Linked DNA regions of Sus scrofa. The protein of the gene in region 2 interacts with the protein of the main gene of each other region in a pairwise test. Links are inferred from orthologs where the notes say so. Each region holds a gene or a part of one and is shown on either strand. Other genes may lie near its edges.

What was found.
Region 1: the proteins of DTX2 (region 2) and STX12 interact in binary tests that used the Homo sapiens proteins (3 or more experiments, as listed by UniProt). The two-hybrid records come from large-scale screens. The link is inferred for Sus scrofa from reciprocal best matches to the Homo sapiens genes DTX2 and STX12.
Region 3: the proteins of DTX2 (region 2) and ALKBH4 interact in binary tests that used the Homo sapiens proteins (3 or more experiments, as listed by UniProt). The two-hybrid records come from large-scale screens. The link is inferred for Sus scrofa from reciprocal best matches to the Homo sapiens genes DTX2 and ALKBH4.
Region 4: the proteins of DTX2 (region 2) and NCS1 interact in binary tests that used the Homo sapiens proteins (3 or more experiments, as listed by UniProt). The two-hybrid records come from large-scale screens. The link is inferred for Sus scrofa from reciprocal best matches to the Homo sapiens genes DTX2 and NCS1.
Region 5: the proteins of DTX2 (region 2) and ARNT2 interact in binary tests that used the Homo sapiens proteins (3 or more experiments, as listed by UniProt). The link is inferred for Sus scrofa from reciprocal best matches to the Homo sapiens genes DTX2 and ARNT2.
Region 6: the proteins of DTX2 (region 2) and RFX6 interact in binary tests that used the Homo sapiens proteins (3 or more experiments, as listed by UniProt). The two-hybrid records come from large-scale screens. The link is inferred for Sus scrofa from reciprocal best matches to the Homo sapiens genes DTX2 and RFX6.
Region 7: the proteins of DTX2 (region 2) and GLYCTK interact in binary tests that used the Homo sapiens proteins (3 or more experiments, as listed by UniProt). The two-hybrid records come from large-scale screens. The link is inferred for Sus scrofa from reciprocal best matches to the Homo sapiens genes DTX2 and GLYCTK.

What each region holds. Positions count from the first base shown.
Region 1 is NC_010448.4:84,949,827-84,953,326, reverse strand, and holds part of STX12 (syntaxin-12), read right to left. Parts: intron 2,294-3,500; coding exon 2,188-2,293; intron 1-2,187. UniProt on the Homo sapiens protein: SNARE promoting fusion of transport vesicles with target membranes. Together with SNARE STX6, promotes movement of vesicles from endosomes to the cell membrane, and may therefore function in the endocytic recycling pathway.
Region 2 is NC_010445.4:9,908,867-9,912,366, forward strand, and holds part of DTX2 (probable E3 ubiquitin-protein ligase DTX2), read right to left. Parts: intron 316-3,500; coding exon 1-315. UniProt on the Homo sapiens protein: Regulator of Notch signaling, a signaling pathway involved in cell-cell communications that regulates a broad spectrum of cell-fate determinations.
Region 3 is NC_010445.4:9,799,731-9,803,230, reverse strand, and holds part of ALKBH4 (alpha-ketoglutarate-dependent dioxygenase alkB homolog 4), read left to right. Parts: intron 1-96; coding exon 97-294; intron 295-3,500. UniProt on the Homo sapiens protein: Dioxygenase that mediates demethylation of actin monomethylated at 'Lys-84' (K84me1), thereby acting as a regulator of actomyosin-processes.
Region 4 is NC_010443.5:270,315,194-270,318,693, reverse strand, and holds part of NCS1 (neuronal calcium sensor 1), read right to left. Parts: intron 3,113-3,500; coding exon 3,034-3,112; intron 1,716-3,033; coding exon 1,627-1,715; intron 1,278-1,626; coding exon 1,200-1,277; intron 1-1,199. UniProt on the Homo sapiens protein: Neuronal calcium sensor, regulator of G protein-coupled receptor phosphorylation in a calcium dependent manner. Directly regulates GRK1 (RHOK), but not GRK2 to GRK5. Can substitute for calmodulin. Stimulates PI4KB kinase activity.
Region 5 is NC_010449.5:49,257,985-49,261,917, reverse strand, and holds the start of ARNT2 (aryl hydrocarbon receptor nuclear translocator 2), read right to left. Parts: upstream 2,801-3,933; 5' UTR 2,786-2,800; coding exon 2,230-2,785; intron 1-2,229. UniProt on the Homo sapiens protein: Transcription factor that plays a role in the development of the hypothalamo-pituitary axis, postnatal brain growth, and visual and renal function. Specifically recognizes the xenobiotic response element (XRE).
Region 6 is NC_010443.5:44,773,721-44,777,220, forward strand, and holds part of RFX6 (DNA-binding protein RFX6), read right to left. Parts: intron 2,398-3,500; coding exon 2,288-2,397; intron 1,316-2,287; coding exon 1,198-1,315; intron 1-1,197. UniProt on the Homo sapiens protein: Transcription factor required to direct islet cell differentiation during endocrine pancreas development. Specifically required for the differentiation of 4 of the 5 islet cell types and for the production of insulin.
Region 7 is NC_010455.5:34,432,092-34,436,202, reverse strand, and holds the start of GLYCTK (glycerate kinase), read right to left. Parts: upstream 2,801-4,111; 5' UTR 2,618-2,800; intron 2,427-2,617; exon of another isoform or gene 2,410-2,426; intron 409-2,409; exon of another isoform or gene 304-408; intron 194-303; exon of another isoform or gene 1-193.

The DNA.
Region 1 (3,500 bases), on a different chromosome or scaffold from region 2:
TCCCACGGCATGTGGAGGTTCCCAGGCTAGGGGTCTAATCGGAGCTGTAGCCACCGGCCTACACCAAAGCCACAGCAACGCAGGATCCGAGCTGCATCTGCGACCTACACCACAGCTCACAGCAATGCCAGATTGTTAACCCACTGAGCAAGACCAGGGATCAAACCGGCAACCACATGGTTCTTAGTCGGATTCGTTAACCACTTAGCCATGACAGGAACTCCCAGTTATTTAATCAATCATGCCCAAGGGACAGGGTTCTGAGAGCTTCTTGGTTGGTGAACACCTGGAGAGGGCACAGAAGTTCTGTGCCCCTTCCTACAAACTCTGCCCTGTGCCTCTCTGCCATCTGGCTGTTCCTGAGATGTATCCTTTTATAATAAACTGGTAATCTAGGGAGTAAGCTGTTTTCTTGAGTTGTGTGAACTGCTCTAGCAAATTAATCAAACTAAAGGAAGGTGATCACAAGAACCTCCATGTCAGTCAGAACCACAGGGGACAATCTGGACTTGTGACTGGTATCTGAAGTTGTGTGTCTGTGTGTATGTGTGTGCGTGTCCTGTGGGACTGAAACCTCAACCTGTGTGATCCGATGTAACTAACTCCAGGTAGAAAGCGTCAGCATTGAGTTAAATTAGGACATCCCTGTGGTGTGGCAGAATTGCTTGATGGGGAAAAAACCCACACATTTGGGGGCCAGAAGTGTCAAGGTATAGTCTGAGAACAGAAGAGACACACAGGAGTGTGTTACTCCACCATTAGAATAGGGTTTGTATGTTAAATGCAGGAAATGACTGGATATGAAAATCCAGCCCTAAGGAATCTGGCCTTAATTCTGTTGAATGTGCAGTGCCCACTACACTCCTGACATACACTGCAGTCCACTCCTTAACCCTAACTCTACCCCTGCTATAACAGTATTTCTAATGTTAAAGAATCAAGCTGATGATTAGGAGCAATAGGTGAAAAAGAGAAAAAGAGTTCCTGCTGTGGCACAGTGAGTTAAGAATCCAACTGCAGCGGTTTGTGTCGCAGCAGAGGCACAAGTTCCATCCCCGAGCTGGTGCAGTAGGTTAAAGGATCTGGTGTTCTGCACCTGTGGCTCGAATTCAATCCCTGGCCCAGGAACTTCCCAATACCTCTGGTGCGGCCATTAAAAAGGGGGTGGGGGGGAAGGAAAGATATGACATCTTTGAAGGCAATAAAAATTGTTTAAATCTCCAAATAATTCTAAAATGCAGTCAGGGTTCAGAACCACTGCCACAGATGAAGGTCAGTGAAGAGCTCCAAGTTTCTCTCTACAACCCTCCTCTCCCCACTGCCCCAGGGATGGCAGTCTTCTATCTCCATGAGAAAAGTTCTTGGGTTTAAGGATATTTTACTGGTCATTGTGCAAAATTAAAGTTGGGGAACTCAGCTAAGAAAGGCCTCAATACCTCTCCCTCAACACCTACCTCAGAAACTGTTCCTATTTCTCTGACCCACTGAGGTGATATCCACAACTTGAGAGTGAACTTTGGGATGCACAAAAACGGAGCAAACATTTTGGCCTGCCTTTATTTGGGGCTATTCGGTCTAAGCTCTCTGCAGAGCTCTACCAAACCCAGAGGTTGGCACTGAGGTTCAGAGATAGCGTCTTTTTTTTCTTCTTTTTGCCATTTCTTGGGCCGCTCCCTGGCATATGGAGGTTCCCAGGCTAGGGGTCGAATAAGAGCTGAAGCCGCCAGCCTACACCAGAGCCACAATAACGCAGGATCCGAGCCACGTCTGCGACTTACACCACAGCTCACGGCAACGCCAGTTCCTTAACCCACTGAGTGAGGCTGGGGATCAAACCCGCACCTCATGGTTCCTAGTCGGATTCGTTTCCGCTGTGCCAAGATGGGAACTCTGGAGACAGCGTCTTAATGAGCAATAAAATATCTGTTTGCCTTGCTCTATTCCCTATACATACTCTCATGCAGACCATATAAGATATGATGACTGAGAAAAGAATTGGGGTATTCTCAGACATGATAGCCAATACTGTCGTAAGAGTAGTTCAAGCTCACCATGATTACCTTGAGACATAATATGCAAACTACACAACAACTCATTTCGTCTTTTTTCATAATCACCAAGAGAAAAAGCAAGGTGGATTAGAGATTACAGATACGAGTCAGACAAAAAACATGACCTGGTTCTCACCTCTAGCTGCCGAATCGCTGTTTCCCTCTCTTTAATGAGTTCCAGATCCTGTTCGGTGATGGCCACCTCATCCTCCTGGCTCTGCATCTGGTTCCACTCCTCATGGCTGCAGGGCGACAAGCACATTAGCTGATTCCTCCTCTCTAAGGTGCCAGCAAAGCCCCCCCAAAGACAGTACCAGGGTTCCAACTCCTCTGGCATCAGTACAAGGCCCTGAAGGCCACATTCTTCATCACCAGAAGCAAAGAGCTGGTAACACCAAGAAAATAAAGTCTTAGCTTTCATGGGTAAAACTAAGAGGAAGTAGAATTGTGACAGATGAGACCTGTTGCTGTTTCCATTCAGGGGTACACTCTGCAATCTTGCTGGGGCTTGCTAGACAAGCAGTGGGCAGAGATTTGAAGTCAACAAAGTAAACTAGCCTATTCTCTCCCAGGTCACTCTCAAAGTGCAAGCTGTGTTGGTCTCTCAGGTCCTACATGAGATCCTTAGAGGAGAGCAGGCTAAGCGACCTGTTGGTGCTTCACCAACTAGTCCAACAGAATCACATCTCCTGGTTTTCAGGAATCTCCTTGAGGTTACGCTTTAGGTTAAATGACTGTAAAATCAAAGTAAATCTAAGTAAAAAGCTAGTGAAATACAACTCTTCTTTTCAGGTACCATATTTAGAAGAAAGGCATATGACACATTATACTAGACCCAGAACACTTTGCAAATCCAGTGTTAAGTATTTTTCCAACAGTACGCATAAATCACACATTATCTCAACAATATTTAAAGAATTTCCTCCATGTGCTGGAGATAAAAAAACTGACTTAGAGGCTTTTGAGGTACTCATAGTATAGTGGGGGGAAGATAATATCTCTGATAAAACATTTTACATTTTGAACTAATACCATCAGTACATTTCTGTGCAATTAGTTAATTCAGTGTGGAGAAGTTAAGAAAGGAGATAGCTTTCAGATACAAACTGTTTTTCCTTTCCCAGCCACACTCAAGGCATATGGAAGTTCCCAGGCCAAGGACTGAATCCAAGCTGCAGCTGTGACTTACACAACAACTGTGGCAAGGCTAGATCCTTATCCAGCTGTGCCAGAGCAGGAACTCCTGCTTTTTCTTTTAATACTCTTTGAAGAATGTGTTGCCTCCATTTCAGAGAAAAGTAAACAGAGACCCAAGAACTTTGAAGAACTTAATTCTGAACTAGAGGTAAAATTATTTAGACCTCCTAATCTGTAGATTTGTGGGTTCATATCTACTCCTAGTGAGCTAAACACTTTTCCCAACACAGAGATATCAGAGATTTCTTAGAA
Region 2 (3,500 bases):
CCACTCCTGTGTGGCCTGGTGGAGCGATGATGGTGGTGACTGGGTAAGGGGGCCCTGCTTGGCGCCGCACGCTCCGGCAGAAGCTGGAGGTCTTGTTGGTCTGCGTGTGGGTGGCATAGTTGACAGTGTAGTTGTACCCCAGAGGAGCCAAGTCCACGAGCTGGTTGCCCCTGGCCACCTGCTGCTCCAGGTAGTCACAGATGCTGGCTTCATAGGGTGTCCAGGAGCCTTCATCACTCAGCCACTCCCAGACGATGCCCCGGCCTGGGGCTGAGTGCTGCGGAAACAGGTGCCTCCGCACAGCCCGCATGGTGCCTGTTTTAAAAGGAGTATTACATGTAAATGGCTAATCTGCTAGACAACCCCACCTCCAAAACAAAGAGAGTTTAAAAATTATTTTTTACCTGCAACCAAAGTAAAACAACATGATCACAGTGTATATCATGCTGCTGTTTGACTTAAAGGCTGGCATTGATCATTTCTCCAAATTTGGGGTGAAGGGCAGAGAGCTCTATGCAAAGAAACTGTGGACCAAAGGGATCAAGATGGCAGAGGGGGACCAGCGCTTCTCAGCAGGACTGGGGGACGCTGCAGATGCAGGTCAAAGACCAGCTGTGGCTCAGACTCCAGGAGGCTTCACAGAATATTCCTAATGAGCAACTAGAGATTATCACCCTAACTGAAGTAAGTCAGAAAGAGAAAGACAAACACCACATGATAGCCCTTGTATGTGGAATCTAAAATACGACACATGGAGAGTTCCTGTTGTGGCGCAGCGGAAACAAATCCGACTAGGAACCATGAGGTGGCGGGTTCAATCCTTGGCCTTGCTCAGTGGGTTAAGGGTCCAGCATTGCTATGAGCTGTGGTGTAAGTTGCAGACACGGATCAGATCTGGGGTAGGCTGGTACCAACAGCTCCAATTGGACCCCTAGCCTGGGGACCTCCATATGCTGTCGGAACGGCCCTAAGAGGACAAACAACTAAATAAATAAATAAAATAAAATATGACACATGGGAAGTTCCCGTCGTTGTGCAGCGGAAACAAATCCAACTAGTATACATGAGAATGTGGGTTCGATCCCTGGCCCTGCTCAGTGTGTGAGTGATCGGCATTGCCGTGAGCTATGGTGTAGGTCACAGACGTGAAAACTAAAATATGACACACACACGGGAGTTCCCACTGTGGTGCAGCGGGTTAACGATCTAGCTTGTCTCTATGGAGGTGCTAGTTCTATCTCTGCCTAGCACAGTGGGTTAAGTATCTGGCATTGCTACAGCTGTGGTGTAGGTCACAGCTCTGGCTTGGATTGATCCCTGGCCCAGAAACTTCCATATGCCAAGGGTGTGGCTGAAAAAAGACATGAACCTATCTACAAAACAGAAACAGACTCCCAGACATACAGAACACATCTGTGACTGACAACAGGGTGGGAGGAGGGAGTGGGAGGAACTGGGTGTTTGGGGTTAGTAGCCAAACGAGTCCATTTAGAACGGATAAGCAACAAGGTCCTACTGTAGAGCACAGGGAACTATATCCAATCTCCTGGGATAGACCATGATGGAAAATAACATATAAGAGAATGTGTGTGGAGGAGTTCCCATCGTGGCTCAGTGGTTAACGAATCTGACTAGGAACCATGAGATTGAAGGTTCGATCCCTGGCCTTGCTCAGTGGGTTAAGGATCCGGTGTTGCCGTGAGCTGTAGTGTAGGTGGCAGACGTGGCTTGGATCCCGCGTTGCTGTGGCTCTGGCGTAGGCCGGTGGCTATGGCTCCAACTGGACCCCTAGCCTGGGAATGTCCATATGCCATAGGAGTGGCCCTTTCTAGGCAAAAAAAGACAAAAAAAAAGAATGTATGGTGTGTTTGTACATGTATAACTGAGTCACTTCTGCTGTATAGGAAAAACTGGCATAATGCTGTAAGTCAGCTATAATTAAATATATATATTCCTAATGATAAAACCTATGTAGCCTGATTTAAAAAACTGAAAACAAAATGTCTGAAGAAAATCAAATCATCCATAGTCCAGCCACACCCAGAGGAAAGCAGGTAATTTCCACTGCAGTGTATTCCTTCCCATCTCGTCTCTGTCTCCTAAGCAGGTACATTCAGGTGAGGCTGACAGCCATACTGAAAACTTCTCCCATTTTCATGTATGATGCTGTAAGTATTTCTTAGGTCTCTAAAGCTTTGTAAAACTCATTATTAACTGTTGCCCAATTCTCTTTCATGGCTGTACCATTCCCTTGGACTTCTCAGGCAGCAACTATTAGGAAACACCTGTGGTTAGCTTATATTAATAAACCAAACCTGAAGATTAAGGCGAGAAAGAAAAAATCCCTTTGAGCCACGCTTCCAACAGCACTTGCCAAAAGGTGATCATTGCAATTGCCCTGGACCTCGACCACGGCCCTGCCTCCATCCACAGCTAGAGAGAGACTCTTACGCCCCAAATCGGATGGCGTCACTCTGCCCAAACCCTCTCAGGGCTCCTCCTTTCAGGAGAAAAGCTGAAGTCCCTTCAAGGGATGGAAAAGCCCTGTAAGACCTGCTGCCCTCCTGGTCTGTCCAGCCCTTCCTGGTGACCAGGCCACCTGAGCTCAAACTTCAAATCAACCTCTCCCTACAGTCCTGTACCTACAAAGGCCAGGGATGCGGCTAGACAGCCTACAATGTAGTCCCGCCCCAGAGTCCTGACAATCAACAATGTCTGCAGACACTGTTCCACGTCCTAGAAGACAAAATCACCCCCAGTTGAGAACCACTGATTCAGACAACAGGGGACAGACCTGGGAAGAAGCTGGTAGCCCCATTCTCAGTAATACTGATCAAAACACACACACAGGGAGTTCCTTTTGTGGCTCAGCGGTTAACGAACCTGACTAATAACCATGAGGTTGTGGGTTCGATCCCTGGCCTCACTCAGTGGGTTAAGGATTCGGCATTGCTGCGGCTGTGGTGTAGGCTGGCAGCTACAGCTCTGATTCGATCCCTAGCCTGGGAACTTCCATATGCTGCGACTGCAGCCCTAAAAAAGCAAAGCAAAGCAAAGCAAAACAAAACAAAACACACGCACACACCCACACACAAAAGAAACAAGAAAGTGAAGTAACCTGCCCAGGTGCACAGGAAAGTGAAGTAACCCGCCCAGGTGACCCAGCTATCACACAAAAGCCAGAACTCAATGCCAGGCCCTCTTAACTAGCATGCCGTGCCACCTCCATGCTGGCTGGCCTGCCTGCCGCCAGCCAGACCCTCTCAACTCTGCCGACGCAAGCATGTATTTCTGGTTTGGAAGACAAGGAGGAAAGGGGCTGGGAGGGCCTCTGCACTGCATCCACAAGACACCCTCTACCACTAAGCAGGTAAACTCACACCTGTGTTACCTATCACTCACAACAGCCGCCTCCTGACTGTTTCAGGGGCAGGAGGACCCTCAGCATCAATTCTGTGCCCTCAACACCTAGCCCAATGCCCAGTCTGAAGCAGGCACTT
Region 3 (3,500 bases), about 110 kb from region 2:
GTTCTGCAGATGCTCTTCCCTATGACAGATGAGAGTGAGAAAGGCCAGGGCTGAGGAAGGGCCCCAGGACTCCAGGACCCCATCTTTCTTTTGCAGAAAACACACCGGTTCATTTACTACACCGACACTGGCTGGGCTGTGGGGGCCGAGGAGTCCGACTTTGAAGGCTGGGCCTTCCCCTTCCCCGGGGTGACGCTGATTGAGGACTTCGTGACCCGGGAGGAAGAAGCCGAGATGGTGCAGCTGATGGACCGTGACCCCTGGAAGCTCTCACAGTCTGGACGGAGGAAGCAGGTAGGTCGGTGCAGAGTGGGGGAGGAGGGCCGGCCAGTCACGCAGGCCTTTGGGGACAAGCCCGCCTGATCTGGGGGGTCAGGGGGGCCAGGCTACTGAAGGGGGTGTGTGTCACGGAAGGGGCAGGGCCTGCTCACTTTCCTGATGAGACCCCGCTGGCAGGGCGGGCTCAGGCAGACGGCCCTGAGCTCTTCCCACCCTCTCCCCAGCTGCCCAGGGCTGGTGCCCATCACGAACTGTTTCTTTTTATTTATTTATTTATTTTGTCTTTTTGCCTTTTCTTGAGCCGCTCCCGTGGCATATGGAGGTTCCCAGGCTAGGGGTCTCATCGGAGCTGTAGCCACCAGCCTACACCAGAGCCACAGCAACGCGAGATCCGAGCCACGTCTGCGACCCACACCACAGCTCACGGCAACGCCGGATCCTTAACCCACTGAGCGAGGCCAGGGATGGAACCCGCAACTTCATGGTTCCTAGTCGGATTCGTTAACTACTGGGCCACGACGGGAATTCCCATGAATAGTTTCTTGAAGGTCACCAGGTGCCCCCTCCCGTCCCAAGTTTTCTCCCCATCAGTTTCTCATCTCCTCATGCCTGTTGCCACTGATGCTCAGGCGTCCACATCCTGAACCTTCTCTTTGTTGGGGATCACAGCCCCTCCTCCTTGGGTCCACTCCTCTCTCCTGTTCCTCATCTCCAGCAGCCCTCGCCCCCTCCGGGACCTGCCATCAGCCACCTTTCCCTCCTCCTGTCACCTGGCCTCCCCCATCCTCAGTCCCTCGCCCCTTCCCTCTCTCAGTGTCAGGCCCTTCCGCTCCGCCACAGCCCCAGCGGGTCCAGCTGCCTCCCCACCTGCCCCCGGCCTCCCGGCTCTGGCTCTCCACCCAGAGCAGGCTCTTCCTGCTCAGCGGTCCAGCCGACCTCCTGCAGGCCCTCCACTGACGACCGCGCCTCTCTGGGAGAATCGGTGCCTCCACAGGGGTGCCCGTGTGCACACTGCCCCCTTCTGCCTGCGCCCAGCTTCTCTCCGAGGCCCCCTCCAGCTGCGAGCCGGCTGCCAGCCCCTCTTCTCAGAAGCCCTCGTCCCCGTCCCTCCCCTCTCTCCTCAAGGGCGGATCTTCCTGGCCTCCCAGGAAGCTCCGTTTCTCCCGTCTCTGCAGCAGAGCTTCTCAAAAGAGTTATTTCCGCTCTCCTTGCTTAACCCACAAGAAAACCGCCACGCCTCAACTCAGCGGCCAGTTGTCGGTGGGCCCGGCTTGGCAGCTGGGCTCCCCACTCGTGTCTGCAGCCCCTAAGCTGAGCTGTGGCAACAGGTCCAGACCCACAGCCCTGCCTCGTCTCCATCTTGGCAAGTTCCATCTTCCACTGCCCAGGCCAGAAACTGTGGATCTTTCCAGATTCTTCTCTATCTTTCCCTGGTAATTCCTGTCAGCTCTTTGTTTCTTCAAAACATATCCTGAACCTGAGACCATCCCCCGACCCCTCGCTGCCGCTGCAGCCCCAGCCCCTCTGAAGTCTCAACAGGGAGGAAGTGACCCCACTGACACCTGGTCGATTGAGTCACTGCTGTGTTCCAACCCGCCAGACCTCCCGTCTCAGCATAGACACAGAGGCCTTCTCATGCCCCGGAAGACCCTGCACTGGCCACCAGCCTGAATTTTGTCTCCACTTTCTGGGGTCAGGTGGCCCTCTGGGGCTGGCCGGCCTGGCACTGAGCGGTGGGGACGGGGAAGGGGCGAGACTCCCCTCCAGATGGAGCCACCCTCCACTCGGGGTCCCCTCACCTCAGGCCACAGATCTGCGGTTCATTCTCCAGGGCTTCTCCCTAGTGCTGTTTTGGTTTGGTTTTTATTTATTTATTTTATTTTTTAAGTAACCTTTTTTTTTTGCTTTTCAGGGCCTCACCTGCGGCACATGGAGGTTCCCAGGCTAGGGGTTGAATTGGAGCTCCAGCTGCTGACCTACACCACAGCCACACACACAGCAACTCAGGATCCAAGCCACATCTGTGACCTACACCACAGCTCACAGCAACGTGGGATCCTTAATCCACTGAGCGAGGCCAGGGATCGAACCTCATGGTTCCTAGTCGGATTCGTTAGCCACTGAGCCATGACGGGAATGCCTTAAATACATTTTACTGGAGTAAGCATATTTGACTTAGTTTTGTTTTTTAGTTAGAATCCACCTACCGTAAACCCACCCATTTCAAGGGTACAAGGCGCTCCTTTGGTTTTCAGCGTATCCACAGTGCTATGCAGCCATCACTACTCTCTAGTTCTGGAACATTCTCATCACCCCAGAGGAAACCCATACCCATTACCAGTCACTCCCCCCATTCCTTCATCCCCCAGCAACCACTAATCTACTTCCCATCTCTTGGATTTGCCTCTTTGGGACAGTCCAATGCCTGGGATTCTGTAATCCGTGGCCTTTGAGTCAGGTGTCTTGGACCGGGCTCAGTGTTCTCAGGGTTCTTCGCTTTGCCGCCTGTATCAGGGCTTTGGTCCTTTTGGCAGCGGAACGTCCCATTGTGTGGCTAGACTGCCATTTGTTCGTTGTTCCTCTGCTGGTGGACACTTGGGTTGTTTCCACATTTTGGCTGTCGTGAATATTGCTGTGAACATTCGAGCGTCGGTTTCTGTGTGGACACGTGTTTTTTTTTTGGCGGGTTTTGTTCTGTTTTTTAATCTCAGAATTCTTTTTTTTATTCTTTTCTCTTTTGGCCACCCCCCAGCATATGGAGTTCCCGGGCTGGGGGTCAGATCCAAGCTGCCATTGTGACCTATGCTGTAGCTGGGGCAAGACAGGATCCTGAACCTTCTATGCTGGGCTGGGGGTCGAACCTGTGTCCCTGCACTGCAGAGATGCTGCCGATCCCCCTGTGGTACAGCAGGAATGCCTGGATGTGTGGTTTTGATTGTCTTGAGGGGAAGCTGGGACTGGAACCGCAGCTGGGTCCTGTGGAAACGGATCTCGTCTGTAGTCCCGAAGCCCAGCTGTGCCCCGTGTGGACCCGCCGGGTACGGCTGCCTTGGGCTGGCCTGCCCTGCCTCGCTGCTCTTCCTTCCAGAGGCCTGACTCCTCAGCACCACATCCTGGACGCCACCCGCCCCCAGCCTCTTGTCTCTGGCGCTGCTTCCTGGGGAACCTGGGCAGAGACATGTCCCTGGCATTTCATACCCCCACCACCCCCGCTTTAGTTT
Region 4 (3,500 bases), on a different chromosome or scaffold from region 2:
AAAAAGAAGGCTTTCTTAACCTGGGGTCTTTGGATAGAATTCAGCAGGTCTGTGAACTAAAATAGGGAAAAAGGAGGTCTTTCTTTTCACTAACATCTAACTGAAATTTAGCGCTTCCTTCCATAATGAATCTAGGTGACAATCCCCCATGGAACCAGAAGTACCTGTGACTTTGTCAGCTGTGGAGATCACAGCATTTTTGTAACACATCACAGCTGCTGCAAAGCATCAAGAAGACAGATCAGCACTTTGAAATTCGGGCTGGTTAAACCCACCACTCAACCTTATCAGCCACCGTTGTGGCTCAGTGGTTAACGAATCTGACTAGGAACCATGAGGTTGTGGGTTCGATCCCTGGCCTCGCTCAGTGGGTTAAGGACCCAGCGTTGCCGTGAGCTGTGGTGCAGGTAGCAGATGTGGCTCGGATCCCTTGTTTCTGTGGCTGTGGTGTAGGCTGGCAGCTACAGCTCCGATTAGACCCCTAGCCTGGGAACCTCCATATGCCGCAGGTGCGGCCCTAAAAAGACAAAAAAAAGGGAGTTCCCGTCATCGTGGTGCAGCGGAAACGAATCCGACTAGGAACCATGAGGTTGCAGGTTCAATCCCTGGCCTCTCTCAGTGGGTTACGGATCTGGCGTTGCCATGAGCTGTGGTGTAGGTCGAAGACACAGTTCGGATCTGGCGTTGCTGTGGCTGTGGTGTAGGCCAGCGGCTACAGCTCTGATTAGACCCCAGCCTGGGAACCTCCACATGCCGCGGATGCGGCCCTAAAAAGACAAAAGAAAAAAAAAAAAGAAGAAGCAGCTCATATAAAACCACATCACAAATACTTTTTAAAAAATATTTTGAGGCATTCTCTTGTGGCACAGAAGGTTAAGGATCTGGTGGTGTCACTGCAGCAGCTCAGGTCACTGCTATGGTACCGGTTCAATCCCAGGCCCGGGAACTTTCACATGCCACAGGTGTGGCCAAAAAAAATGGGATAAGTCTCTTCCAAAATAGCTTTCTTTTTGACCCTACGAATGTTATCTGATGCACTTAAAAACATTCTGAGACAGCTTCTCCAGAATGTCAAAGGGGTCTGTGGCAAAAACTGAAAAGGTTAAGAAGCTGAGTTAAGGAAAAAGGGTTGGACGAACTGACTTAAAACCCTGCATGTCTGCGGGCTGGACCAGTGGCCATCACACCAGGGGTCTCACCTTGTCCATCATGGCAAAGATCCGGTCCACCCTTTTCTCGGGGGTGTTCTCCTCCTCTGGCAGCTCCACGGTGTTGCCCTGTCGGGGACAGGCGAGGTGGGGCCGGCTCCTGGCCCTCTGCCCTCTGGGCCCTTGGCCCCCAACCATGCCCCCCAGACCTGAACTGGTTCCAGGTGAAGACTGCGTCTCCCTCCCACTCCCTGCCGTGCCCCCATCCGCCCTCTGCTCTGGACCAGCCCCATCAGCAGCCCCCGCCCTCCCCCAAGAGGCACAGAGCAACCCCAGGCAGTGACCCTCACTTGCCAGCTCCCACCCCAGGCAGGAGGGCGGCCGCGTGGGGATGCCGCCTCTGGGCCAGGCCCCATCGCTGAGTTTGATGCCCTGCTGCTGCCCCCACCCCCACACCCCCAGGGCCCAGGCCTCTCACCACCATCTGGTAAATGGCATCCACAATGTCCAGCATCTCGTTCCTGGTGATGTAGCCGTCGTTATCCAAGTCGTAGAGCTTGAAGGCCCCTGCAGTCAAGCAGCCAGGGCGAGTGAGCCCTGATCCGGGGCTGGGCTGGCGGCCGCTCCCCCTCCCCTCGGCACCCCGCCAACAGCCCCGTTATTCATCCCGCCAAGACAGACAGGGGACACACACACACACCATGTCACCTAGTTACTGAAAAAGCGTAAATGTAAAAAGGAGGGGGCAGAGCTCTCTTGTGGTGCAGCGGGTTAAGGATCTGGCCTTGTCACTGCAGCAGCTTGGGTCACTGCTGTGGTGCAGGTTCGATCCCTGGCCTGGGAACTTTCATAGGCCGCAGGCACAGCCAAAACATAAACCGAGGGGGCTGGGTCTGTAAGAGCTGAGGCCTCGGAGGCTGATGCTGAGAGACAGAAGGGAGCCCAGGAGCAGCCCTAAAGCCACCCCTCTCCTTCCCCACCCCTGCCTCTGCCTCCTCTCGGCCCACCCCCTTTCCACAACTATGCTGGATCCAGCTAGGGTCAACTTGGAAAAGAAAATAATATGCCTAGGGAGGGGGGAGGAGCTTTGGCATAAATAAAATCCTCTTTTATTCCTAAAAAGAGAAAGAAAGAAATTGCAGTGCTTTCTCGGTGCCGATGCGATGCGGTGAAGTTGTCTCAGTGGGAAGTGAATCCCGGCCCAGCTGCTTTCATCTTCCTGCTAGATCCCCTCTCGCGCCAGCACGGGTGCAGCCTCTCCCCCAGTAGCCTTCTCTCGACCCTCCTCAGGCCTCGCACATGCTGATCCCCTGCCTGGAACCCTCTTCCCGCCCCCCGACCCCCTGCCAGCTTCACCCTTCCCAGCTCGGCTCCCAACTCATAACAGGGTCAGTTCCTCTCTGATCGGCTCACACCTCCCTCTTCCAGCCCCGGCTGCAGTTTTATGGGCTCTTTTGGATAAAGTCCCTGAGCTACAGGGACAGCCACGAGAGCAGGTGCCCCTCGATCTCATACACCTGTGGATTCCGGGCCTCCAGCCCAGCACAGACATGAGGCCACGTTAGGTCAATAACTGTTAGGTGAACCAGTAAATGGACACACGCCGTCAGTCATCCAAACAGCCTCCCGAGTGCTGGATCCAGCCCTGGAACCGGGTCTGAACCGCACGCTGCCCGGCGCCAGGTGCACCTTCGAGAATGCCCTGTGCTCCTGCCCCATCTGTCCACCCGCCTGGCCGCCTCCAGGAAACCACCTCCGACCTGGAAGGGCAGGACGTCTGTGCCACCCTCAGTCCTGGACAGACGGCCTGGCCCAGAGATTTGGCCTCCCTCCAGCCCAGGACGACCCAGCGGCCGCCCGACGGAGCCCAGCGGGCAGGACTTACACCGCAGCTTCTCGTCCAGGGTTCCCCTCGAGGTCACCGACAGCGCCTGGATGAACTCGGAGAACTCAATCCGCCCGTCCTGCGGCAGGGAGAGAGGGATGGGGGTAAATGCTGAGCTGCCCGGTCAGGACGCACCTTGGGCAGGTGGTGATGGGCAGAAGCAGGTAGCTAAGCAGACGCAGGGGTGAGGGATGGGGAAGGAGGGGGAGGGGAGGGCCAGAAATGGGACCGACCAGGCAGGAGGGACAGGGTAAGGCCAGAGGGAGAGCTTGACTCCACATCTGGCGGGAGGAAGAGGCACCCCCAGCGCCCGTGACCCTCTCTGGGCAGGAGCCGCCCAGAATCCCCTCTCTCAGACCCTTGGCCTTGAACCACAGGCACAGAGGCTTTAGAAGGTGGGGCTCTGGACTGTCCGATCCTATTTGTTTTGCCGATAAGGAAACTGAGGCTTGGAGAGGACAGAGTTC
Region 5 (3,933 bases), on a different chromosome or scaffold from region 2:
ACCGATCAAAGGAAAGACAGTGGATAAAGAGGAAAGGTGACCCCCTCAGGGAATTTCCCCTCGAGAAGGTCTCACCACGCTCAAGATCTCTGGCATCTATGCCAACAGAGAAAAGAAATGGCATCACTGTCTATCAAGCGGGCCGAGGTGTTTACAAATAATAGAAACAATCCCTTGCACCTGCACAATTCAGGTGTCCTACAGTCCAAGGCACAGGCATTAATGTTCAGCACTACCAAGCCGGGCAGCTGTCCTATATTTCTACCATTCAGTTCACAGAACAATGTAATGGACAAAATGCCTTAAATGGGGGTGTGTGTGTGTGTGTGTGTGTGTGTGTGTGTGTGTACATTGCCTCTGATGTTATTTCTACTTCCCAATGTAAACCTATATCAAACTAAAATACCTTTGTTTAACTTCTTTTACTTTTTTTAATGTCCTAACATTTAAGTTGATCAATTTGCTCTTGATTTTTAAGCAGCTGAACAGGTTGCAATGGGAGGTTTCAGGTGCAAGCAAACTGGCACAACTGCTTTCAAACCAGCCACGTTCCCACTCAGCATTCTGGACAGAGAACTCAACTGTTCTTCCAAGACTCCCTACTCAGACTAACAGAACCTCCTTCCTCCGAACTCAGGCTCTGCACCTCCGTGTCTCCACGGACATCTCACCTCTGTGTATCCGTGGTCTCTTCCTTTACCCTTACTCCAAATCTAAGCAAATTCTGTGTTCCTCCACCAGCCCAGTGATGCTATCCCTCCTCTCTCTATTCCAAGATGGTGCTGCTAACTCTCACCTTCCCAGCACCTGCCTCATTTCAACCCGGCCTCCCTGCCTCCAGTTTTGCTCCCCTGTTCTAGGCCACCTCACATTGCTAATCTTCCAGAAGTGCTGGGATCATGTGACTTCCCTGTTTGACACCCTGGAGAACTCTCTCTTACTGTGGAGGGAGAGAGTTCACACTCCTTAGCCTGTCCTTCAAAGCCCTCTAAAGCCTGGCCACTGCCAATTCACTCTTTGTGAAATCCCGCTGCTCCCTCTTAAACCCCCAGTGCCCCCACCCCTGGCTGGCACCTGCACATGCTCAGAGGAAGTCCACCATCACTGCACCATCCCCTCTTCCTGCAAGTCCCTTCAGCACCTGGCTCCGTGTATTCAAATCTTCCATTCTTCAAAAGTCCAGATCTCTAAATGCCCTCCCTTACCACTTTAGATGGAAAGGATCCTTCACTCTTAACTCTGTGATACATGTTTTTTTCTTTGCTAGGCATTGTAGATGTTCAACACCCCCCCCCGCCCCCACCTCCCTGTACCGGGAACTTCCTGAGGGCTGGCCTCTGCCTGACCTCCCTGCATCCTTCGCAGGGACCGAGCACCATGCCATGGCCGCAGCAGTCACTACACAACACCCAAAACTTGGTATCAGTCAGCCTAGGTGTCTCCCTCTCCATGCTCGGACACCCTTCAGGTTGTCCTACTCAAAAGGTAGGGCCTTTTCCCAACGAAAATAGAATTTCCCGGCTACAGTCCCCAAACAATTCAATATTCTCCCTTGATCATGATGTCTTCCCATTTCTGAAATATTCCCAATGGGCACAGTTGTCATAGATCGCACCCTGCCAACAGGTCAGCCCTAAAAAGCAGAGGATGCTGAATTGGTCCGGGCTTCTCCACTCCACGTTTCTACGGGTGTGTGTGGGTGGGTGGGTATTAAAGATGAGGGTACACAGTAGCTGGTCGAAAAAGGCTCAAAGGACCTGCGCTGGCGGGGCGAGGCGGTCAAGGGAGAATCGGGGAGAATCCACCCTGTTGAATCCTGGCTCCAAACTTTTCCCTCCGTCAGCGCGGCACCCTCCTACCCGCCCTGATGCGACAGGGGCCGGACCGGAAGAGAAAAATGTGTCGGATGGGGAAAGCAAAGGTAGTTATTTTCGGAACTTAAGGGGATCCCCGACCGGCCCTTCTGGTTTCCAGGGATGCGCGGCCAGCGTCCGGCGCATCTTGGAGACCGAGATGGGGCAGAGACTGGGATGAAGATGCCGCTGCTGGTGCTGGTGCTGATGCTGCCGCGCCGAATGACAGCCGCCCCCCCACCCAACCCGGGGGGCGGTGAGCGCCCGGCTCCGCGCTCCCAGGGACGCTTGGCGCGACCAGCGCCTCCGGCCCGCTCCGGCCCCAGGCGGGGCCTGCGGGCTGCGCCGGGCGGCGGGGCCCGCGGCAGCTACTCACCCGGAGGGTTGACCGCCGCCGGGGTTGCCATCTTGCTCGGAAGGCTGGGCGCGCGCCGGGCGGGGCGCGGAGGGGCGGCGCGGAGCCCGGCGCCCCCCGGGGCAGGCGCGGCCGGCGCAGGCCCAGGCGCCGCCGCCACCGCCACCGCCGCCGCCACACAAAGGACGGCGCGGGCGGGCGCTGCCTCCGCGCTCTCCCGCCGCCGCGGCCGCCCGCCGCCCCCGCCTTTATCGCCTCCGCCCCCTCCCTGGCCGCCGCCTCCTCCCGCTCCTGTCTTTGTCACGCGGCGGGGGGCGCGGGTTCGCGGCTCCCCGGACCAGGCCGCAGCACCGCGAGACTTGGGGCCGCGGGTGGCGGGACCCCCGAGTCGGGGGTCCGCCCCCTTGAGCCCGCGCAGGTGCTCGGCCTGCCCCGGCTGGGACTCGAGGCGCGCCTCTTCCCTACTGACTGGGTCCCCCACCCCAGGTGTCCGGGATGCATCACGGAGGGCGCTGTCCCTAGGCCAGAAGGGCCAGGGCGGGGGCGGGGAGGGGGGCGGCGTGGATGCGCAGCCCATTAAGATGCAGAGGGAAGCGGGTCCTCAGAGCCGGTGGCGAGGAACAAAGGCGCCCCAGTGCTGCCCACTTAGCATGCCAGGGCTGCGCTGCTGGGCTCCCTGGGCCAGAGCCATGGCCCCCGCGCTCAGGAACTCCTAAGGCCACGGACACCTCCAAGGCCACCGCCTCAGACAGCTTCCAAGTACACTACGTAAACACCCAGGCAGAGGCCACCGGCCCGGGGAAATAGAGAATGACTTGGCTTTGAGAAAGGCTGTCAGCTCTGCTTTCCTTCTTGCATGGTGACCGTCATTGGTTATTACCCGAAGTTGTTGCAAGAGCCTTATTTATGCAGCCACCTCATAAAGATTCTTTAAATGGCTTTTGTCTGCATATCCTGGTGAAGTTAAGCTTGAAGGGATTGTTTCTCTGCCAGACCCTAGGATGCCTGTGGGGAGATCTTGGCTCTTAGGAAAAAAACGACACTATAGTGGCGCCCTGCAAAGGGCCCATGGAAGAATGAACACATCCCAGGTGAGAGCCGCCAAGGGCAAGATGGCCCCTAAATGTAGACATGTTTGCCAAAACCATCAGTTTGTCTTAAATCCTTCCAAAGAAGCCTTTAGGGGGTGGAGAGACTCATAGAGAAAAAATGCTTGGGATGTATTTTCAAATAAGCACTGTCTTCCGGGGAGTATTTGTCACTATTGATTTGACTAATAGGCGCTTAATGATATTCATTTGTTTATCGATTCCACGAAGTTGAATGTCTGCTGTGTACCAGGCACAAAGCTAGGTATTGGGTGCACCATGGAAAGAGAACCACGGGGGATCTGTGGTTCTCTAGTCTGGGGTGGCCAGGAGAAGAGCAAAATAAGGTATTTGCATCAAGAAGCGCACAGCTGCCTGGGGAGGCACTGTGGTCCCTGGTGAATGACTGAGGGCGGAGAGAGGGTAGAGTGAGTGGGAAAATGCAAAGCAGGCTTTGCAGAAATGAGCAGGATATGAAGAGGTGGGAAAGAAAGACACTTCGAGGGAGGACCAAGGCATGTGTGGATCTGGTGTCAAGATGGTCAGGCTAGGGTAGAGAGAGGACAACTCAGGTATCAGCTGGGACCACCCCATGCTTGTTTCAAGGGGCTGCTCCTGATTTCCCCAACATCAGCCA
Region 6 (3,500 bases), on a different chromosome or scaffold from region 2:
TAATTACATCAAAGGAAAATACGGATGAAAGTGAGACATGCTTTATGCTTTAAGAGGGCACACACTGGAGTGTGATAAGCTTTAACCTGAGGAGAATGAGCTCTACTCTGCTCTATTTCTGTTTACTTTGTACTAAATAATTAGACAATGGCCAGCATGGTCTGAAAAAAGTGTCAAGTAAGAAGATGTCTTTCTAACCTGGAACAAAATGCTCTTTCATTTGAAAAAAAGGAAAAGAGTAATTTTCATGTGGAAGATGTCCTAGAAAACCTTAAGCTTATTTTTACTATTCAACAGATTTCCCAACAAGTCTTTTTTCATAATAAAGTCAGGTTTAAATGCTGTATAATTTAAGAAGCCTTAAATAGAAGCAAGCTGTTTCAAATAGACTCAATATATTTTGTTCATCCCTCAATGTAAGTTCACTGATCTTATCTAATGCTGTTGAAAATCAAATAAAGACAGTTTTCTTAATTGCAACTACTTTACAATGTGATGATTTCTCAAAATGCAACTACTAAATGCAGAAGTACTGTCCATGAGATAGCACTATAATTACAAACTAGGAGTCTGAGAAATTTTAGGGAAAAGAAGGTATTCAATTTTTGAAAAAGCTAACTTGACTCAATTTTTCATAAGTCGTATAGATCAGGAAAGATGGTTCAGAAACATATGACAGCATGTCTTCTAAGCTGCTCTTTGATTCTTGGAGTACAGCTATGCGGGTTCCTGGAAAAGATGCAAACATTTTCCATATTGCAATGAATAGTGCCTTTGGAAAATAATGTATTAATTATTGTTTATTTGTTTGTTTAACAAAGAAAATTTATCCAAGCACTGATGAAGTATAATGGTGATAGCTGCTATTTATTGTGTTTACCGGGTGTTAGGCAATGTGGTCTTATTTATATCACCTCATTCAAGAGCCTATATAACCCAATGAAAGAAATATTCTTCCATTTCTACAATGAGCAGACTAACTTGGGCGAAAGCCAAGCCAAAGAGAAGCAGTGTTAGGAGTTAACCCTGCAAGTGATCTGATTCCAAAACCCAGGCTAATAACTACCATTCTCTATTGGCTCAGTAGTCAAATGTAAGAAGTGACAGTGCCACATGTTTAAAAATTGATAGGAAATGTGACTGACAAATGAATGATATAATTTATCTAAGAAGAGTTTTATAAAGCACTTAAGATACCAAAACTGGATGCATTGTTCAAGGTGAGATTATGCATTACTCGAGCACCAAAAAAGCTCCACTTCAGCAGAAAGTCTTGAGCCCTCTTCTTTAACGATCTTCCATTCTGTTTGCTGGTCTAAAAGTAAAGTGACAAAATGAAACTATAAAAATCTGTCATCTCATTATTACATGCTTCCTACATGTGATCAAACAGTAGATAAACTTTCTGACAAATGGACAGATGGCAAGGCATGCCATTTTATCATCAAATAAAATGAGTTGTTCTGGGATTTTCATTTTTGATCTGTCTTTGCTGCCATTTTTAAGGTTAATAGATCTTTATTCACTATGTTTTTGTCACCTAATAGAACTGGACAACAAAATGAAATAATTTACAAAGTATTTTCTCTCTTAATTTTCCTTTGACAGAGCTTTAAAAAGAGCAGAAGGTGAAGTGTGAAGGAAAGGTTATATATTTCTGTGAATGATTAACTCTGACTTCTCTGGTCCTGAATGATAATCTGTTTTCCTTCCAGGAGAAAAAAAAAGTCCTTACACTATAACTAGTTTCCTTGATATGGAATGGCTAACACCAACTGGTGATGGATATATTTGTTCTTATGGCCTTGTTTCATGATGGATGACTTGAAGGTTAACTGAAAGAGTTGAAGAAACCACACAGAAAACACAAAATACTGAGCTCCTAGAATTTAAAAATGTAGATATTTAAAATCATATTTTCTGTCAGCTTTTATGAAAGTGTGATTTTTAAGAAAAGGGCCAGATCTTTCCAGTTTTTCAGTTTCTCTCTCACTATTGATGTTACTCCACTGTAACTTTACTGACTGGTAGGGAAGGCATAGTGTCTTGCAGTCTGTCCGAAAATGATAAGCAGAATTCAGTCTATGCCTAGTGCTCTCAAATCTGCCATATGTCTAACCATGATATTTGATTTGCCTTATTTGCAGGGTTTCAAAAGCTTTTCAAAGCATTTTTACACACAGCCTGTTGCCATCCCCCATCATTCAAGCATTCAAGAAATTATAGCCAGTTTAGCATTTAGCATTATCAAAAAAAATTATTTTTAGAATTTTTCATTGAAAAATACCTTAATAACTCTCTGTTCTACCACAGTATCCAACCATTCGATAAAAGCCTCCACAGTGGCATTCTTCTTAAGCAGATCTTTCAGTTCTTGGAACACAGTGATAGAGTCATCTACCACGCAAAAAGAAAAAAAGAAAAAAAGAAAGCAGACTTTCACGCTCTACTTTGAACCCAAGAGAAAACCTACAACTAGAAATTATTAATAATCGCATAACATAAAAAGGAATGACAGGTAGATTAAATATGTTAAAGAAATCAATTTTATATCCTGAAAATGCTTAACAAAAAATCCTTAGTTCTTTACTTTTCAAAATTTTCATCATAAGTGTATCTGTCTTGGTATATATTGAAATATAAGTTTATATTTATACACTAGGGAAGAATAAGTTGTCACTAGTGATGATTATTCATTTTGATAATGAATAATAATGAAATGCAGTGCTTTCATTAAATGCAACAGATTAGTTGAAAGCTAAGGAATCAAGTAAGCTAGACCTGTGAATTTCCTGCTTTCTGAAATATCCTTTTTCTTTAGCAAAAATTAAATTCTGCCCTGAAGAATTATGCCATTTAAATGAATAATCTTTTATCATGTAAAAGTCAAAGGGGCAGTTTAGAACTATCATTTTATTAAAGAGTTTGAGGTTTACTGAATCCCAGAGGGTAATATAATATTATGTTAGGAAATAGAAAGCAGGGCTGAGGCTGAGGTTGAACCATCCCGAGAGCAGTGTGCTATAGCCTATAGGAGGCTGCACTTTTTTGTCTTTTCAGAGAGAAATGGTGGGAGAAAGACTGGGTTGTTATCACTTGAAAATGGAACCTGATTGTCTGGCCACACCTACTAGCTTGGTAAACTCTGTTAGATTGTCCAAACCTGAGCAGGGGATTTCTGCTTTGAAAAACAGTATTGCATTGAGATTTTTTGATATGCATTATGTCCCATAGGATGCCAAGAGTGTGAAACACATGGAAATGTGTATGCATATAACCTAAAACTCATGAAAACTCACAAAACTCAAAACCTATTTTGATTATTTCCAGGTTCCTATCTATCTAGGTTATTTCTAGGCCAGGAGATTATGGAGGGCTTTTATTTTCTTCTTAATATTTTCTGTATTTTCCAGGTTTTTCACAACCGTAAGCACAACTGGTTTTAAAATAGAGAATAACTTTTTAAAATTAAAAATATTCCTGTTAAACCGGGTTTCTCA
Region 7 (4,111 bases), on a different chromosome or scaffold from region 2:
CATGGCCACAGGTACCATGGGGCCCAATCTGTTGGACAGAAAAGGATGCCCTTCCACCTACATGGTCAGACCCACCCCTGCTGAACACATGACTTTTGGCTCTGACATAACATAACCAGTCTTGGGTCACACCACCCACAGAGGTGAGAGCCGTGTGGCTGGAGCAGGCAAAGGCCAAGCTCCCACAGCTGAGGCCAAGTAGTCATTTTCCCCACTGGGCACAGTAAAGGCTAAAGAAGTCTTGAGGTGAAGGTCAAGAGGCCGCAGAGGAGTTTAGGGACAATAAAGTCCCAAAGAGCTCACCTCGAAAAAGGCATTACTGGAATGTGCATTGTGGCTCAGCAGTTTAAGAACCCAACATAGTGTCGTGATGATGATGGTTAGATCCCTGGCTTCACTCAGTGGGCTAAGTATCCAGCATTGCTGCAAACTGTGTTGTAGGTCGCAGATGTGGCTTGGATCTGGTGTTGCTATGGCTGTGGTGTAGGCCTGCAGCTGCAGCTCCAATTTGACCTCTAGCCCAGAAACTTCCATATGCCGCAGGTGTGGCTGTGACAAAGGAAAAAGATATTATTGGAGTTCCAGCTGTGATGCAGCAGGTTAAGGATCCTGTGTTGACAGAGGCATAGGTCACAGCTGCAGCTCAGATTCCATCTTGCCTGGGAATTTCCATATGCTACAAGTACAACAGAAAAAGAAAAAAAAAAGGCATTACTTTAATAAATGCCCACCATAAATGCTGACAGCTGACTGCAGCAGCAAGTGTGGACAGAGCAAGAGAAAGGGGCTGGGAATCAGGCTCCAGATCCACCACAAGGACAGCTCGATTTCTCTCATGGGGCCTCATGTGTAAAAAGAAAAGTGGAATGAGATTAAGACTAATAGTCTCCCCTGCACATCTCTGGACTCTCTGAAGCTGTCCACTGTTAACAATGGAACCCAAACATCATCTTATCCCACACTCAAAACACCCGGCAGGAGTTCCCATCATGGCTCAGGAGAAACGAATCTGACACTAGCATCCATGCAGACACAGGTTCGATCCGTGGCCTTGCTCAGTGGGTTAAGGATCCGGCGTTGCTGTGAACTGTGGTGTAAGTCACAGACACAGCTTGGATGTGGCATTGCTGTGGCTGTGGCAGACAGCTACAGCTCTGATTTGACCCCTAGCCTGGGAACCTGAACTTCAGGTGCAGCCCTAAAAAGACAAAAACAAAAAATAAAAAACAACCTGTCAGAAGTTCCTGCCCTGAAGCCCTGCATCCTCATGGTTACAGCAGGGGTTTGTTAACACCGAGCCACCATGAGCACTCCTTTTTTTTTTTTTTTTTTTTTTTTTTTTTTGCCACGACTACAGCATGAGGAAATTCCTGGGCCAGAGATGGAATCCACGCCACAGCCACAACTAGAGCCCCTGCAAGTGGCAACGCCTGGATCCTTAACCTGCTGAATCTGACTGCAGCAGCTCTGGTTGCTCATACAGGCAGGTTCGATCCTGGCCTGGTGCAGTAAAGGATCCTGCATCGCCACAGCTGCAGCATATTCAATCTATGGCCAGGGAAGGAGGGAGGGGAGGGAGGAAGGAAAAAACAAAAAGCAAAAAAACCTGGCAACTTCTAGCCTTCAGCCATTTAGTCTACATGAAACTCAGCTTTCCCGGAAGAGAACCAAGCATGCCCCAGATCAGCTGTGAAAGGCAACACAAAGGGATCCAAAATGGGCTCAGCTGTGGCCTAGGACCTCTGGGGCTGGGCCATTAGAATTAGAGGTAAAAGCCCTTTGGCATGTAGCAATAGTTGATTTTTCAGCCTGGGTGAACTTTGTACCAGTTTCTCTGATGGATAGGGGCCTAGAGGATCCCAGCCCAGGGCAGGGGGCGCCCAAGACTAAGGTAGCCAGATAAAGTACAAGTCACTCAGTTAAATTTGAATTTCAGATAAACAAGTAGTTTGTTAAATGTAAGAACCTCCATACCATGTTGGGGACATACCTATACTAAAAAAATTTTATTATTATTATTTGTCTTTTTAGGGCCCCACCCACCGCGTACTGAAGTTCCCAGGCGAGAGATCCAATCGGAGCTGTAACTGCCACCCTACACCAATTGTCACAGCAATGCCAAATTCTCCGAGCTGCGTCTGCAATCTTTGCCACAGCTCCCAGCAACTCGGGATCCTTAATCCACTGAGTGAGGCCAGGGATCCAACCTGCGTCCTCAGGGATACTAGCTTAGCCACCACCGGAACTCCTTTTTTTTTTTTTTTGGCCGCAACAGGAGCATGTGAAAATTCCCGGGCCAAGGGTGGAACCCACGCCACAGCAGCGACTAGAGCCGCTGCAAGGGGCAACGCCCAGATCCTTAACCCGCTGAGCCACAAAGGAACCCTTAAAAACTTATCTGTTGTTCACCTGAAATTCGAATTTAATTACACGCCCTGCCTTTTTATTTGCAAAACCCAGCAACTCAACTCGTGACAACGCCTCTCCTAAAACCCCCAGCGATCCTGCGCAAAACCCGGAAATACTGAGCAGACCCGCCTCGAGTCCTCCCCCCACCAAGCGGGGCTGGAGCCCTTTCCTCCTTCGCCTGTCCGCCCAGCCCCGGAAATGACGTTACCCTGGGGCCGAGGCCTCAGGCCAACACGAAGGAAATGGCTGCCGCGTAACGTCCAGTAGTGACCCGAGAAATAAAGGGCAGCAACCGCCGTCACCAAGCCCAAGGTACCCGGTGGCCCTGGCGGTGCGGACTTTACTGCCCCACAGCTCCAGGCCGCGGATCCCACCTTTCGTGACCGGAAGTCCCCCAAGGGGGCGGGGCGGAATCCGGAACTTTTAGTGCGTGGGGCGGGGCTGGGACTTCTAGGGAGAGCTGCTGGAGGATCCGGACTGGCATCTTGGATCGGGGTTTTGGCTCATCATTGACCGACTACATCCCCGGCTGAAGGCACTTTCAGGGTTCAGTGTCTTCATCTCCACAGTGGAATAATAATCCCCGCTTCACCGACTGCTGTAATCCGTCCCCCTCCTTTATTCTGTATTATCCCATCAGTCTCAAATCATTCCGACCTACTGTTAGGTGCCAGGCACTGGACTAATCAAGCGGGAGGAAAAATCACTCTACACAACCCATCCACTCTGGCGCCATATTAAGTCATCCTTTCCCCTCACCGCTGTTATTCCACAATTCTCCGGTTACCCTTTCTCCCTTGGGCGACCAAATCACAGCTCCAACTCAGCAAGAGAGTTCTGCTTCGTGGTTCTCGAACACACAGGCAGTGTGTAAACACGAAAGATCTTAGGCCTCCCACGGAGTCCCCGCTCTCACCCTGAGCCTGGCTTGTTACCTTCCCTTATACAAAAAGACAATTCCTGGAGTTCCCCTAGTGGCTCAGCTATAGCTAACGGACTAGTATCAACGAGGACGCAGGTTCCATCCCCGGCCTCACTCCGTGGGTTAAAGATCCCGCTTTGCTGTGGCTGTGGCATAGGCCCACCGCTACAGCTCCAATTCAACCCCTAGCCTGGGAACCTCCATATGCCCCGGTGTGGACCTTAAAAAAAAAAAAAAAAAAAAAAAGGTGCAGAAGGGTACATTGTTGTTACTAATGTTTTCTTCGGGAGAAATGCTTTTATTCATTCCTCCAACACTCAAGAGACGTTTCCTGAGTGCCTTCTAGGTGGACCAAACGCTCTGTCTAGCTGCTGGGATGAGTAAGAAGTGGTACTCTTAGTTGAGAAATTTCTGCTTTTGTAATTACATTCCGACAGTGCTGGGGGCCAGAAGAGGGGGTGTAAATTTGAGCATCCTCTCATTATTTAGTCCCAGACTCTCATAAACAGACACCATTTACTGTGCCAGCGCTGTTATATCAGACTGTTAGCAGGAGATATATTATCTTTTTCTTTTTAGTCTTTTTGCCATTTCTTGGGCCGCTCCCGTGGCACATGGAGGCTCCCAGGCTAGGGGTCGAATTGGAGCTGTAGCCACCAGCCTATGCAAGAGCCACAGCAACAATGGGGATCCAAGCCTCGTCTGTGACCTACACCACAGCTCACAGCAACGCCGGATCCTCAAACCACTGAGCAAGGCCAGGGATCAAACCCGCAACCT